4 linked regions of the Mus musculus genome follow. The protein of the gene in region 3 binds, or shares a complex with, the protein of the main gene of each other region. Links are inferred from orthologs where the notes say so. Each region holds a gene or a part of one and is shown on either strand. Other genes may lie near its edges.

The links. Proteins that work in one complex are often made in the same cells at the same time.
Region 1: Osgep (region 3) and Tprkb share a complex: the UniProt entries of both Homo sapiens proteins name them as parts of the EKC/KEOPS complex. The link is inferred for Mus musculus from reciprocal best matches to the Homo sapiens genes OSGEP and TPRKB.
Region 2: Osgep (region 3) and Gon7 share a complex: the UniProt entries of both Homo sapiens proteins name them as parts of the EKC/KEOPS complex. The link is inferred for Mus musculus from reciprocal best matches to the Homo sapiens genes OSGEP and GON7.
Region 4: the proteins of Osgep (region 3) and Lage3 are in contact, whole or in part, in a crystal structure (PDB 6GWJ), measured with the Homo sapiens proteins. The link is inferred for Mus musculus from reciprocal best matches to the Homo sapiens genes OSGEP and LAGE3. Residues at the interface, in NP_060277.1 of Homo sapiens: Arg50, Ile53, Leu54, Asp55, Leu57, Gln58, Leu61, Gln69, Ala84, Val87, Ser88, Val91, Val92, Arg94, Thr95, Val96, Gln98, Leu99, Trp100, Asn101, Leu315, Ser318, Gly319, Val320; in NP_006005.2 of Homo sapiens: Glu76, Ile77, Gly80, Ser81, Leu82, Pro84, Asp85, Asp125, Gln126, Leu129, Val130, Arg132, Thr133, Met134, Arg136, Phe137, Gly138, Pro139, Pro140, Val141, Arg143.

The regions. Positions count from the first base shown.
Region 1 is NC_000072.6:85,914,394-85,918,521, reverse strand, and holds the start of Tprkb (EKC/KEOPS complex subunit Tprkb), read right to left. Parts: upstream 2,804-4,128; 5' UTR 2,732-2,803; exon of another isoform or gene 2,608-2,731; intron 2,552-2,607; exon of another isoform or gene 2,415-2,551; intron 1-2,414. UniProt on the Homo sapiens protein: Component of the EKC/KEOPS complex that is required for the formation of a threonylcarbamoyl group on adenosine at position 37 (t(6)A37) in tRNAs that read codons beginning with adenine.
Region 2 is NC_000078.6:102,755,008-102,759,151, forward strand, and holds the start of Gon7 (EKC/KEOPS complex subunit GON7), read right to left. Parts: upstream 2,804-4,144; 5' UTR 2,739-2,803; coding exon 2,534-2,738; intron 1-2,533. Other genes in the region: Gm20604 (AK010878-Moap1 protein), read right to left, coding at 2,534-2,738; putative E3 ubiquitin-protein ligase UBR7, read left to right, coding at 3,022-3,171. UniProt on the Homo sapiens protein: Component of the EKC/KEOPS complex that is required for the formation of a threonylcarbamoyl group on adenosine at position 37 (t(6)A37) in tRNAs that read codons beginning with adenine.
Region 3 is NC_000080.6:50,922,090-50,926,223, forward strand, and holds the start of Osgep (probable tRNA N6-adenosine threonylcarbamoyltransferase), read right to left. Parts: upstream 2,805-4,134; 5' UTR 2,690-2,804; coding exon 2,575-2,689; intron 1-2,574. Other genes in the region: Apex1 (DNA-(apurinic or apyrimidinic site) lyase), read left to right, coding at 3,181-3,235, 3,428-3,615, 4,072-4,134. UniProt on the Homo sapiens protein: Component of the EKC/KEOPS complex that is required for the formation of a threonylcarbamoyl group on adenosine at position 37 (t(6)A37) in tRNAs that read codons beginning with adenine.
Region 4 is NC_000086.7:74,351,659-74,354,926, forward strand, and holds Lage3 (EKC/KEOPS complex subunit Lage3), read right to left. Parts: upstream 1,961-3,268; 5' UTR 1,870-1,960; coding exon 1,667-1,869; intron 1,345-1,666; coding exon 1,216-1,344; intron 841-1,215; coding exon 726-840; 3' UTR 504-725; downstream 1-503. UniProt on the Homo sapiens protein: Component of the EKC/KEOPS complex that is required for the formation of a threonylcarbamoyl group on adenosine at position 37 (t(6)A37) in tRNAs that read codons beginning with adenine.

The DNA of each region.
Region 1 (4,128 bases), on a different chromosome or scaffold from region 3:
ACGCACAGGGGAAAAATTCCTAAACAGAAAGCAATGGCTTGTGCTGTAAGATCAAGAATTGACAAATGGGACCTCATAAAATTGCAAAGCTTCTGCAAGGGAAAAGACACTGTCAATAAGACAAAAAGGCCACCAACAGATTGGGAAAGGATTTTTACCAATCCTAAACCAGATAGGGGACTAATATCCAATATATACAAAGAGCTCAAGAAGCTAGACTCCAGAAATTCAAATAACCCCATTAAAAATGGGGTTCAGAGCTAAACAAAGAATTCTCACCTGAGGAATACCGAATGGCTGAGAAGCACCTGAAAAAATGTTCAACATCCATAATCATCAGGGAAATGCAAATCAAAACAACCCTGAGATTCCACCTCACACCAGTCAGAATGGCTAAGATCAAAAATTCAGGAGACAGCAGATGCTGGCGAGGATGTGGAGAAAGAGGAACACTCCTCCATTGTTGGTGGGATTGCAAGCTTGTACAACCACTCTGGAAGTCAGTCTGGAGGTTCCTCAGAAAGTTGGACATAATACTACCAGAAGATCCAAAAATACCTCTCCTGGGCATATACACAGAAGTTCCAACTGGTAATAAGAACACATGCTCCACTATGTTCATAGCAGCCTTATTTATAATAGCCAGAAGCTGGAAAGAACCCAGATGTCCCTCAACAGAAAAATGGATACAGAAAATGTGGTACATTTACACAATGGAGTACTACTCAGCTATTAAAAACAATGGATTTATGAAAGTTTTGGACAAATGGATGTATCTGGAGGATATCATCCTTAGTGAGGTAACCCAATCACAAAAGAACTCACATGATATGTACTCACTGATAAGTGGATATTAGCCCAGAAACATAGAACACCCAAGATACAATTTGCAAAACACAAGAAAATCAAGAAGAGGGAAGACCAATGGGTGGATATTTCATTCCTCCTTAGAATAGGGAACAAAATACCCATGAAAGGAGTTACAGAGACAAAGTTTGGAGCTAAGAGGAAAGATGGACTATCCAGAGACTACCCCACCCAGAGATCCATCCCATAATCAGCCACCAAACCCAGACCCTATTGCATATGCCAGAAAGATTTTGCTGAAGGGACCCTGTTATAGATGTCTCATATGTGGCTATGCCAGTGCCTGTTAAATACAGAAGTGGATGCTCAGTCATCTATAAGATGGAACACAGGGCTCCCAATGGAGAAGCTAGAGAAAGCACTCAAGGAGCTGAAGGGGTCTGCAACCCTATAGGTGGAACAACAATATGAACTAACCCGTACCGCCAGAGCTCATATCTCTAGCTGCATATGTAGCAGAAGATGGCCTAGTCAGCCATCACAGGGGAATGCCAGGGCCAAGAAGCGGGAGTGGGTGGGTAGGGGAGCAGGGCGGAGGGAGGGTATAGGGAACTTTCAGGATAGCATTTGAAATGTATATAAAAAAATCTAATAAAAAAAAAACAAAAAAAAGAACTATGTCAAATGTTTTCTCAGCATCAAATAAAATGATCATGTGATTTTTTTCTTTGAAAAAAAAAAAAAAAAAGAGTCATGTTGACATTTAGTTCCCGATGTGTGATATTAAACGGTGAGGCCAAGTATGGAATTAAGAAGGTGGCTAGGACTTTGTACTAAGAGATAAAAATAAAAAATAATTAATCCGCTCATATCACTATAAAGTTAATAGTTTACCTCAGGGGCAATTGGGGCCTTTGAACTCAAAATTTTGTTTTTTGGGTTTTGTTTTGCTCTGCCTTCCAAGTGCTGGGATTAAAGGTGTGTGCCACCGCTGCCCAGGTCAAAATTTTGTTAATCCAGTTATATGATTATCAAATAAAGGCTTCTATCTCCAAAGCGATTCTATTACAAATGAAGTTTGCCTAGCCTCCTAACCTGCTCCCTGGCTTGAGGCAGACGCTGGCAGATCTCTGAGTTTAAGGCCAGCCTGGTCTACAGTATGAGTTCAGGACATCCAGGGCTACACAGAGAAACCCTGTCTAGGAAAACACAACAAAACACCTCACCCACCATGAGGTACTGTGGTATTAGCAACAGGAGGTGGTCTAAGGCTTCTCACGTCCAGTGTCCACGTTCTGACTCTATATCCACATCTCTCCTGACTCATCCTTGTCACAAGCACTGCCATCACCTCTTATCAATAACACCTTAACAGCGTCCTCATCCGGGCCCTGTCACCAGTAATGCAATTCTAGCCTATCCCAATGGTCACGGGGTCCTTCAGGAGGAAGTCAGGCTGAAGCTAAAGCACTAACTATGTCACTGGGACCAGCATGTAGTCTGGACCCTGCCTGACTCCTCTCCAACCCGGATGGCATGGCCTGCCCTCGGCTTAGGCTGGTCAGGCTTTCCAACAGGGCGTCCCTACTACCCTCAGGGCTTCTTGCCTGGGTCCCTCCTGCCAAGGCCGCTCGCTGGCCCGGGTAAAGCCTGGGGTGGAGGCGACTCCGCTCTCCGCCGCGCCTCCCTCCCAGCGCTGGGCCTGGCTGTGGCTGTGCGGTCCGCACGCGGCTCCTCCAGCCTCAGCCTCGGGCATCGCCTGCAGGGGGCGCCCCGGCGCGCGCAGCCGAGCGGCCTTCCGTCCCGAGCCGCGCTCCTGAGACCATGTCGCTCTCCACCGGGGCTCGCGACAAACACGGGCAAAGGCACGCGTACTTCGCCCGCAAAACTGTCCGCAGGGAAAGAGCAACAGGGCGGAACTCACCCTGCATCCTACGCCCGCATCAGAAGATCGTCCCCTAGGAAACTTAGCTCTCTACTTCCGGAAGTGCTTAATGTTTGATAGGTGGGCGGGCGCCGAGGCGCCCAGTTTCCGGTGGGCGTGCTCCTGGCTCTAAAATGGAAGTGGAGCGGACTCCTAGTACCGCTAGAAGCTGCTGGCGGAGGACAAGGAGAACTAACTCTAATTTGTCCCGGCTTCGGAGGTGGAAAAGCCCCCACTGGTCGGGCCTAGAAGCTGAGGTATGGTGTTGTCAGCCCTGTTCTTAGCCTGTGTTGAACACTCTTTTCCTGTGAAAAAGAAAAATATTCACCAGGATGGGAGTCACAATTTATCAGAGCTTTCCAGACTCAGTTTACCGAGTATGCTCTTGGGTGGAAACGGGGATCTGGCGTGGTTGTGGCTTACATTGAAGGAGCGCTTCCGGTGCTTGGAGATCTAGAGACAAGTGGACTTTCACAGCTGTGACAGAGGAAAGAGGCAAATTTCTTGAGCAGACCAGAGGACGCGACGCTGGGATCAAGTCCCCAGAAGCCATCCGCCTCAGGGAATTATACAAGACCAGGGTACTGCTCACGGGGAAGGGTGGCCACCAAGATAGTGAGTCCGGATTTTAGTCCTTGCTACCTGTCAAGAGAACCCAATGAATAAAGAGCTTGAATCTTAAAATTAGTTTATCCAGAGAGAACCTGCAGTCTGAAATAGTAGGTTAATTACCCTACAGACATGCATTCCCTGCCATCTTCACCCAGCAGAATATATAAGGAGGAGATAGGGCCATAGGCAAAGACAGCCAATAATCCTGGAGCTCCGTTTTGTTTTGCCTCTCTGGCCAGATGGTCAACATGAGGACACTTCTCATATGATGTTTGCTTCTTACTTTCTTGGCTTTCTCCTCGTCTGCAGGTGTTTGGACACAGGCACATTGGAACTCAGAATCTAATTAATTTCTACTGATAATCGACCTTACACCCCTACAGAGATACCTGGGAGGTTAATTCAAAACAAATGAGAGGGTGTCCGTTTCGTTTCCTTTCCTCAGTGTGAAGTACAAGTGTGTCTTCATAATCCAGAATATGAAAGTGTCCCTATCTGTCCCCAATCATTCTTCACTATCAGTAGCAACTCTGAGATCTGTGTCATATGAAAGATGACATCCTGACACCGTGCACCTGGTTGGTTGTCGGAATGACTTCTTTTCTTGTAAGAGAATTCTCTGGCACAAAAAGATGTACATCAGAACATACCATATGTAGCAGGAGCAGCTGTGTCTTGGAGTGAGAATTTCTGAAATATGCTTTGTTCTGAAACAGATATAGACAATAAAGGTCTGAACCAAAGTTAGAAGACAGTGTCAGGTAGCCACATATAAAACCATTTCT
Region 2 (4,144 bases), on a different chromosome or scaffold from region 3:
TTTGGGGGAAGTGGCTCAGAATAGCTTAGAAAGGAGATATTTGCCCAGCTCTAGTGCATTAAAACTGTATTATATCCCCGCACTCAGGAGGCAGAGGCAGGCGGATTTCTGAGTTCGAGGCCAGCCTGGTCTACAAAGTGAGTTCCAGGACAGCCAGGGATATACAGAGAAACCCTGTCTGAAAAACTAAAAACCAAAAACCAAAAAAAAAAAAAAACCCATATTATTACATATTATAAAACAGTAATAGAAGTCTTTTAATCTGAGAACTAAATGATCTAAGGTGGAGTAGAAACTCCTAATTTATTACAACCTATTGGCACCCAACATAGGGTATCATTTTGTAGAAGTCTGATTCCAGTTCCTCCTCCTAGACCAATGCTCCCAGAAATAAGACTCAGACTCAAAATATATATCCAAATACCTTGGCCATACAGCTAGGCTCTTCTCTAACTATATAATTAAGATAACCACTTTACACTTCCACCAACAATGTGGCCTGTCCTATCTTAGAATGACAAGTAATGTCAACTTGCCCAGCCCAGGTGAAAAGATATGGAGGGAAGCTTTTGTTTTTTGCCTGCTTGCCCTCACTGACTATCAAGTTCATCTATCCTGTTACTGAGAGGCCCAAGATACTCCTTTGTTGGTGTTAGAACCTACTCTTTAGGATTCCAACATAGACTGAAAACTGGCAGCTCTCTTAAGACTTTCCAGGAACTCCAGTACATGATTGGGACTGTTGAGACATCCAGTCTCATGGACCAAACAACTATCAGATGCTTAGCCTTTCTGTCAGGAGACTGCCAGTTTTGGGCTACTCAGATCACAGGCCATAAGCCATTCTAATAAATATCTTTATATCACACTTATTCTATCAGCTCTGCTCCTTTGAAGAACCGTGAATAATACATCTAGCTAATACTTTTTATTGTTTCTTTAAAAAAATTATTTATTATATGTAAGTACACTGTAGTTGTCTTCAGACACACCAGAAGAGGGCGTCAGATCTCATTATGGATGGTTGTGAGCCACCATGTGGTTGCTGGGATTTGAACTTGGGACCTTTGGAAGAGCAGTCAGTGCTCTTAACTGCTGAGCCATCTCACCAGCCCCTTATTGTTCCTTTTAATGACAGCCAATAACTATATTATAAAGAATACGGAAGTTTAATCTCCTCTGCAGAAGAATTGACTCCTTAGCTCAGAACAATGAAACATCTATCTTGGTGTTCAATTCAAGATTAGAAATAAATGTAACAACAGTGGAGTGTGGTGGCATATTTCTTTAATTCCAGCACTGCTGAGGCAGAGTCTGGCAGGTCTCTGCAAATCCAAAGCGAGGCTGGTTTAACCGTTACATGGTGACAATGTCTACAAAATAATTTTATTCCTATTAACAGAGCTAGGGCTGGAGAGATGGCTCCGTGGTTAAGAGCACCACCTACTTTTCCCCTGCATGTACGAGGCACCCTCTTGACTATCTGTAACTCTGGTTCCAGGGGATTTGATGCCCTCTTCTGGCCTCCGAAGGCACTGCACATAAGAGGTGTACAGACAAGCATGCAGGTAAACATCCATCTTTAAAAGCAAACAAACCCCAAGCCACCAAAATTAACAGTTAATTTCTACAACAGGAGAGGGGGTGAGAGAAAGTAAGAGGACGGGAAGGGCTGTAGTGCTTTCGGACATTATATAGCCCTTAAACTCTGGCAGCACAAGATGGCAACGTAAACATTCCATCAAGGAAGGGGGGGGCTCATGAGGCGCCACCCCTCTCAGAGGAGCGGTTGGCGGTTAATGGGGGGCGGGGGAGTCATTGTTTTTCTTCAGTGGTCTAGTCACTGCTGTGTTGCCCTAGTTCCAGTAAATATCATACAAATATCCTTAAATAAATCCAGTGACAAAAAAAGGCCGGAAAGAAAGGCGAGGAGCCCTGTCGAGAAGGGTTCAGCGGGGGATAGAGACCATGACCTGAATGCATTAATACATGAATGAAACGATCAATTAATTTAAGAATACCAAAAAGCTAAACTAAAAAGAACTCTTTTACTTTCGAAACAATAGCTACAAAACTGAGAGGGTTAAGATTCCCTAAAACAAAGTGGGCCTCGGTCATTCGAAGCTCTCCTCATTCTGTCAAACACGTTTTCTCGTTTCTAATTTCACTCCTTTCCGTTTTTCAACAACCAGGTCTACCTTCCCGCCCTTTCGGGTCTTCGTGCCAGCTAGCAATGGTTACAGACCGCCACTTTCTCTGCCTATCTTAATCCTTTGCGTTCTTTGCAAGGGAGTCAAGCTGACTTCGTCCGTTGACCAGTCCCTAGTCCAACGCTCGCCACGGTTTTTTTTTTTTTTTTTGGTGGGAAAAGTCGCAAAAACGGGGGGCGGTGGGATATCAGACAAAGAGGGCAGCGAGTTCTAAGGATTTTTAGAAGCGATTGCTCCTCTTCTCCGGGGCTCGCCTTCTCTAGCCTGCCCTTCACACTGCCCGGTCCCGCCAGTGTCCCCCGGCGCCCCGCCCCCGCGCTCACCATCCAAAGCGTCGTCCGGATCTTCCGCCAAGCCTTGCGCGTCCTGCTCCACTAGGGTCCCGAAGAACTCCGCTACCAACTCCTTCATCCGGACCACGCCCGCCGACAGGCTCTGGAGAGGGTCCGCGTCTCCCGACGCCTCACAGGACACTCGTAGCCGCTGCGGCTCCCCGTCACAACCGACGTACTCGCCCGAAAGCTCCATGGCGACCACTCAGCTTCAACAGCGCGCCTCGGAGAAACGCCACCCGGAAGCGGAAGCCAGCCTGCGGCCGGGGCGGGCGGGAGAGGCGAGGAGGAGGAGGAATGACTTCCGATTTCCCGAAATTGGCCCGCCCATTTTCTTCCGTGTCCTTCCTTAGGATTGGCTGTCTGGTGCTCGGGCTCCGCCTCCTCACGGGGCCCCGCCTTCTCGCGACGCCCCTGGCGGCGGCCACTTTTCCCGCCTCCTCCTGGGCCCACGCAGCGGAGCCCGGTGACAGTTGAGGATGGCCGGAGCCGAGAGCCCCACCGAGTGCCAGGCGGAGCTGGAGCCCGTGGTGTCGCTGGTGGACGTGCTCGAGGAAGACGAGGAGTTGGAGAATGAGGCGTGCGCCGTCCTGGGCGGCAGCGACTCGGAGAAGTGCTCCTACTCGCAGGTGCGCGCGGCCCGGCTGCTCCCGCCGTCCTGTCTGTTTCCCGCTGGCCGCGGCCGGGCCCACTCACGGCGGCCCTTTACTCTGTGCTTCTACAGCCCCGGCCCGGCTGCCATTTCATCCTCAGCTTGTCGCCACCAGGGCTGTCCCTCGGTTCCGCTGATGGTACACTGCAGGCTCCGGTCCTCCAGTTGTCGCCTCTTGGTGGCCTGCTTTTCACGAGGTTGTTCTCGTGATCTCTCAAACCCAGATATTCTTCGCTCCACTTCTCCCACCGCCCAAGAATCTTAATTAGGGACCAGATGGGGAAAAGTAAAGGGAAAGTGGGCCGGCTTTGAAAATCTTCCGGTGAGGTTCGGCTTCCGGACACTCCTGTAGTCTAGTTTAACTGCTAGCTGCCCCCACCTCACCCCCTTTCTGGTTAAATGAAGTTTCGTGTGTATGTGCTATGTGACATCCCCTCTCTCTGGGGACTGGAAAGCCAAGAGGAGAAAAGGATCTGTTTGGCATTTGTGGGACCTTTTGAACGAGAGAGTTTGAGGGGCTGAGATGTAGTGTTTAGTGACGCATACTGTACATTTAAGTACTAACGTGGAAAAGGGTGGGTAGGAAGGAAACTTAACAACAAGGATGAGAATTGGTGGAAGGAAACAGGCTAACTATGCCCATGGGTGGAGTGGGAGACTGGGGTAGGAGTGAAGGGACTTGGAGTTATGGTGTGGCGTGGACTGAAGTCATAATACTAGTTGTCTTCGTTGACCAAGTTGGGTTTGCACTGTAAAATTGTTGAATAAATCTTGTATCCCAGAAGTAGTCACAGCATGGTCGCTGGTATTTAAATTTGGAGGATCATTGTTAGGTTTCAAACCCTGGACTCTGCTGTTGTGCCTATTTAACATATCAAAGCCGATGGTGGCCTCCTGGTTCTCCCTGCCCTTCTGTCCCTTCCGGGACTCTCCTGGCAGACATACCCAAT
Region 3 (4,134 bases):
GTTCTTAGTCATCAGGGAAATACAAATCAAAACAACCCTGAGATTCCATCTCACACCAGTCAGAATGGCTAAGATCAAAAATTCAGGTGACAGCAGATGCTGGCGAGGATGTGGAGAAAGAGGAACACTCCTCCATTGTTGGTGGGATTGCAAGCTTGTACAACCACTCTGGAAATCAGTCTGGCGGTTCCTCAGAAAATTGGACATAGTATAGTATAGTACTACTGGAGGATCCCGCAATACCTCTCCTGGGCATATATCCAGAAGATGTCCCAACCGGTAAGAAGGACACATGCTCCACTATGTTCATAGCAGCCTTATTTGTAATGGCCAGAAGATGGAAAGAACCCAGATGCCCCTCAACAGAGGAATGGATACAAAAAATGTGGTACATTTACACAGGGAGTACTACTCAGCTATTAAAAAGAATGAATTTATGAAATTCCTAGGCAAATGGTTGGACCTGGAGGGCATCATCCTGAGTGAGGTAACACAATCACAAAAGAACTCAAATGATATGTACTCACTGATAAGTGGATATTAGCTTAGAAACTTAGTATACCCGATATATAAGATACAATTTGCAAAACACATGAAACTGAAGAAGAATGAAGACCAAAGTGTGGACACTTTGCCCCTTTTTAGAATTGGAAGCAATCACCCATGGAAGGAGTTACAGAGACAAAGTTTGGAGCTGAGACAAAAGGATGGACCATCTAGAGACTGCCATATCCAGGGATCTATCCCATAGACAGTCATCCCAAACGATGACACCATTTCATACACTAGCAAGCGTTTGCTGAAAGGACCCTGATATAGCTGTCTCTTGTGAGACTAGGCCGGGGCCTAGCAAACACATAAGTGGATGCTCACAGTCAGCTCTGGGATGGATCACAGGGCCCCTAATGGAGGAGCTAGAAAAAGTATCCAAGGAGCCAAAGAGATCTGCAACCCTGTAGGTGCAACAACATTATGAACTAACCAGTATCCCGGAGCTCTTGACTCTAGCTGCATATGTATCAAATGATGGCCTAGTCGGCCATCACTAGAAAGAGAGGCCCATTGGACATGCAATCTTTATATGCCCCAGTACAGGGGAACGCCAGGGCCAAAAAGTGGGAATGGTGGGTAGGAGAGTGGGGGGCGGGGGTATGGGGGACTTTTGGGATAGCATTGGAAATGTAATTGAGGAAAATACGTAATAAAAATAATATTAAAAAAAAAGAAGTAAAAAACCAACAAAGACACGTTTTAACGATGTAGAAAAACATACTCTACTTGCCTAGGTTTTAAGACATCCTCTTTTCTTTTTTTTCTAAAGATTTATTTATTTTATGTATGTACACTGTAGCTGTCTTCAGACACACCAGAAGAGGGCATTGGATCCTATTATAGATGGTTGTGAGCCACCATGTGAATGCTGGGAATTGAACTCAGGACCTCTGGAAGAGCAATCAGTGCTCTTAACCACTGAGCCATTTCTCCAGCCCAAGATATTCTCTTTTCAAATCTCTACTTTTGAGACAAGGTCACAACATAGGACAGCCTTAAACTCAGATCCTGTCGCAGTCTCCCAGGTGTCACCATTACAGACTGCACCACACACTCTGTTAGCTTTCCAACCTCTACATAGGCTACTGGGGTTTCAGAGATGGTGCTGGTCCACACACAATGTTCAGGAGCAATCTGAGTTTTACAAACTTCCTACTCTTTGTTAACTTTTCCTGTAATTCCATAGAACCCTATGAAAGGTCATATCGTTGGACTTAACATATGATAACTACAGCACTACAACTGTCAGTAGCTTCCCTTTAACCACACGTATCTCAGCCTCTGTGCTTTAGAGCCTACAAGAGTGAGTCCTAAACACACATATATTTCTACTATGTAACCTGAAACATTTCACCTGCTTAGGGAGCCTTCAGAGGTACATGCAGGTTATATGTGTGTGCAAGTTTTGGGAGAGGGTAGGCAAAATACAACTTGTAACTATATTGAGAGTCGTGCAGTGCCTGGTGCTTTTCACATAACTGTCCAAACCCACTGATACCCATTTCCATTCTAAAAGTACCGAAAAACAGACACCTAAAACAGATCGAAAATACAGGAACTCCTCCAGCTTTCCCTCCTCGTTGTAGATTACTTTTATATTTATCACGGTGCAGTGTAAACCAATCTCTATGTGCATCTACAGCGCTGCCTCGGAACACATATTTTCGGATGCTTAGCTCATTAAAGTTGCTCGATAAAATCAGAATACAACCGGGGGTAGTGGCTCATGCCTTTAATTCCAGCAGTCAAGAGTCTACACAGCAAGTTCCAGGTCAGTAAAGGTTACAAGGAGAGACCCTGTCTCAAAAAAATGCATGAAAAAACCCAAAAACAAAACCTGAACGAACCCACGTGACCTAGCCCCAGGTGTCTGACTCTTCTAGTCAAAAGTTACCAACCAAACGCACAATCAGGGGAGTCTGGAGTGGGGAAGCCTGTAAAATCTGACATAGGCAACAGTGTGGAATATCGGACAGAACAAAACTGGACAAGGAGCCGGGAAGCGCGGCCGCAGCCACTCACCGGTGCCCGGGGCCGTGACGTAAGTGCGCCGCGGGTTCGCCAGCACCGTGCCGTCGCGGACCACGCCCACGCCGATCTTGTTGGCGCTGCCTTCGAACCCCAGCACCGCGGGCATGGTGCCTCACGGCTCCCGGTCGTGAGGCCGAGTGACGAGCTGTAACCGGCACTACCACGAACAACCCAGAACCAAGCGAAGGGACTTTCGGGCGCCAGAAGTTATGTCACGAGGTGCCAGGAGGACCAATCATCGCGCTCCAGAACCACGTGGGGGCGGAGCCCTCGAATCACGTGACCACACCAATCGCCCACGTGGGAACAGGCAGACTCCATTCTTTGTGCCGTGAGGGTCTCTGGCTTCGTTGGGAGGTCAGGTACCTTGTTCTAGCGCGTTTCGCGACCCTGCTCGCTGAAGGGCCTAACGCGGGCGAGGGGCTGCATTGCTCGTGGCGGGCCAGGCCGGAAGAACCGCAGCCCCGGGTGTGCAAACGCCTACGGGAGGCGCCTCGCTGCCTCTCCTTGTGTTTTGATTTCATCGTTTCTTATCTGCAGGCAGCGCAGTAAACACTGCTTCGGTGCTCCAGGAGCCTAAGGGCTTTCGTCACAGCGATGCCAAAGCGGGGAAAGAAAGCGGCGGCCGACGACGGGGAAGAACCCAAGTCGGGTAAGCGTGCCCAACCCCACCCCCCAGGCAAGTTCAGGGCTTTACTAGACCGCCATGAATTACGGTAAATATGGACCAAGTTACGTTGCTGGGTTCCGAGAAGTTTGTGTAATTAGAACGCCTAATGAGGTTAGAGTTAACTCTGGCCTGAGGTTGGAACTGCCAGCTCTTACTACTTTACCCATTTTATAGAGCCAGAGACCAAGAAGAGTAAGGGGGCAGCAAAGAAAACCGAGAAGGAGGCCGCGGGAGAGGGCCCTGTCCTGTACGAGGACCCTCCAGATCAGAAAACCTCACCCAGTGGCAAATCTGCCACACTCAAGATATGCTCCTGGAATGTGGATGGGCTTCGAGCCTGGATTAAAAAGAAAGGTTTGGATGTGAGTACAGTTCAGAATCGGGAAGTAGACCTTTCTTGGTTGACTCGTCTTAAGGACCAATCATCTTGTTTCCTTTGAAACGTTATTTTTCGCGTCTGTAGATGCCCCCCCGGGGGGTTGGTGGAGGGCTCCTAAAAGCCTATATAAACCCCAACAACTCCCTCATTTCATTTTTTAAAAAAACTAGTCTAGACTGTTTGCCCCCCCCCCCCCCGCTTTTGGGTTACTTAGCATATCCTCAATCCCAGTAACTACTTAAGATCCAAATGGGAGCGAGCGTTCTGCAGTTGACAGCACATTGTGCTTCCGAAGGTTCCAGTTAGGTTTCCAGCACCCCAGTCAGGTGACTAACGGACACTCACTCACATACAAGATTTGTTTATATTCTGCTGCTCGAATGCCTTCTGTGTATAGCATGTAGCACATAAAATTTTAATTTTCCACATTTCCATTCAGTGGGTAAAGGAAGAAGCACCAGATATCTTGTGCCTCCAAGAGACCAAGTGCTCGGAGAACAAA
Region 4 (3,268 bases), on a different chromosome or scaffold from region 3:
AGACTACACGAGAAACCCTGTCTTAAAAAAAAAGAAAAAGGGCTGGCGAGATGGCTCAGCTGTTAAGAGCACTGACCACTCTTCCAAAGGTCCCGAGTTCAAATCCCAGCAACCACATGGTGGCTCACAACCACTCGTAATGAGATCTGACACCCTCTTCTGGTGTGTCTAAAGACAGCTAAAGTGCACTTATGTATAATAATAAATAAATCTTCGGGCTGGAGTGAGCAGGGACTGAGCAAACGGAGTTGACTGGAGCAAGCTGGCTGACCGTAGCGAATGGGGTTGACCGGAGCGAGCAGCGGTCCTAAATACAATTCCCAACAACCACATGAAGACGCAAAACCATCTGTACAGCTATAGTGTACTCATATGCATAAAAATGAATAAATAAATCTTTTTAAAACAAAGAAAAGAAAAAACAAACAAAAGAAACCACCTGAATTCCAGAGCCCCTCCTCCAACACAAAATAAAAACCAAAGAAAATTTAGAGGCTGAAAATAAGCTCAAATGCAGATTAGCAACATAGCTTTATTTTCTTCAGCAACAAACATTGAAGCACCAGACCAAATGGCTCCTAAGTGCCTGAGGACCAAATCAGGAAAAAAATATTAGGCCCCCACATTTATGTAGTAGTTACTATTTCTAGAATCTTTTCCCTAGGGAAAATTGTATTGCTTAGGAGGAGACGGAGATAAGGTCAGACATGGGTCCCCAGCCAGGCTTAACAGGAAACTGGGGGCCCAAAGAGCTGTATGGTGTTCACCACTAGGGAAAGCTGGTCAAGAAAGTTGATGATGGAAAGTCGGAGGAGGCGAGAATCTTCCGCGATCCAGCGTCTAAGAGTGAGGAAAAGAACATCAAATTCAAACTGGTAGTTTCTACCCTTATTTCTTTCCTTTTATTTATTTTTTTTTTTTTGGAAATAGATAGAAAATCTCTCACTATGTAGCCATGGTTGGCTTAGGGATTGCTATGTGGATCTGGCTGGCCTGGAACTCACAGTAATCAGACCATCTGCCTTTCTCTTGGCTCCTACCCTTTCTTCATCTGTCAGGCATCCACTGTACTGCAGGTAGAGACTAGACTGGTCCAGTGCATCATGCCTTTCCTTAAAAATCACTCTAGTGTGATGATGTCTCTGAGGAAGTGCAGCCTAGGGTGGAGGATGGCCCAGACACCTACCCAGCATCCTAGACTCTTTCAACACTTACACCTCCAGCATGCAGCCGCTCACTTTAAGCTCCTTCCCTACCAGTCCTCGATGTGGTTCGACATCTGGAACTAGGGACCCACAGGCGATTTCTGCCTCCAAAGAGGTCGGGAAAGGCACGAAGAGGGAGCTGGTAGAGACTCAGGAAAGGCACCATCTTGAATCAACTTTGCCTCCTTACCCCTCTAAAATCATCGCATCTGGTCTAAGCTCCCCAGGCTATATCTTCCACATTGCTTGGGCCATTCCTGCTCATTTCCCTCCACCCTGCTGCCCCTCCTCTGTTGTCAAGGAACTTTTCATGCCCAGGCCATACCCCAATCAGCGGGTCCCTCTGCTTCCCTCCTCCCTGCTTTTTTTTCTTTTCTTTTCTTTCTTTTTTTACCCTCCTCCAGACTACCCGCTTCCCTGTTTCAAGCATCCCGCAGATATGTCCATGTCCGGTAGGATACAATCTGTGATGTCGGGTTCCAGGCCTTTGGGTTAAAGGCACCATGCTTTTGCTGGAATTTCGGGAGGCTTCCAGTGCTCTTGCAACAGGGTGAGCTCCACTGGGAATAACTGCCTTTGTGCCTGCATTACCAGGACAACAGCGGCTAGTCTGACCATCGGCGCCATCTGCAGTGTGGCTTAAACCTGTGTGTGCTGTCTGCATGTCTGCTGCTGTTCCTCCTTTCAACCCACCTTCGCGTTACCAGCCCGCCGCCTCTGCCATTGCTGCGGCCCAGAACCCGCCTTATCCTCCGGAAGCTCCGCCCCTCGCACAGGCTGCCATTCCACACGCGCCTGCGCGAACGGGGAAGGTGGTGGGGCCGGGGAGGGGCGAGGGGCGGGGGGGGGGGAGGGAGGCGGGGCGGGGAGGAGCGGTGGGGGGGGGGGGTGGGGGTGGGCAGGAGGACTCTCCAGGGATTTATAGGTTGATCTGGTCAGCTTCTGCCTCCAAAGTGCATCACCATGCCAAGTTGTCCCTACAGTTTCCTAAAAGGGACCTAAGGTGATATTTTCTAAAAAACAAAACCACAACAAAAACCAAAACACTATCAAACCAAAAAACTGTCAAGTGGCCTGGTGTGGTGATGCCTGAAGAAATCTTAGCATTTAGGACCATGGTTCTCAATCTGTGGGTTGACCCAAGTTGGGGTCACATATCAGATATCCTGCATATCAGATATTTACATTACAACTCATAACAGTAACAAAATTACAGTTATGAGGTAGCAATGAAAATAATTTTATGGTTGGGGTCACCATAACATGAGGAACATATTAAAGGGTTGCAGCATTAGGAAGGTTGAGAACCACTGATTTAGGAGGTGGGAATAGTTCTTTGCTTAAGTTGGAGGTCAGCCTGATCTACATAACCACTTCTAGGCTATCCAGACTTACATATTTATATCATCTCAAAAGCAGTCACAAAACAGAAAACCCCATCAACAAACAAATGAAGTGAAATGAGATTTTGAGTATCAGCAAGCAAGAGGTTTCTTTATTTTTCCAGATAAGTTCTCTTAGCCAGGGTTACATGCCTTTAATCCCGACACTTTGGAGGCAGAGCAGGTGGCTGTGAAGTTGAAGTCAACCTGGTCTTCATAGTGAGTTCTAGGACAGCTATATAGTGAGGCCCTGTTGAGGGTGGTGGTAGAGGGATCGGGAAAGGAAGGAGAGAGGGGGGACAGAGAGGACAGAGAGGAGAAAGAGGAGAGAGAGACTCTATGTAGGTCTGGCTGTCCTGGAAGTTGTTCTGTAGACCAGGCTGGCCTCAAACTCAGAGATCTTCCTGCCTTTGTCTTCTGAGTGCCAGGATTAAAACACAACCCTCACCCCAGCTAAATGTATTTATTTTTATTGTATGTGTTTGAGTGTTTTCCCTGTTTGTATATAAGTGCACCTACTGTGTGCAGGTCCTGGTATCTATGTGAATCCTGTAACTGGAGTTGTGGGTGGTTATAAACTGTCATGTGGGTGCTGGGAACTGAATCCAGGTCCTTTGCAAGAGCAGCAAGTTTTAATTACTGAAGCAGCTCCAGCTCCTCTCCTTGAACACCTTCAAAAGC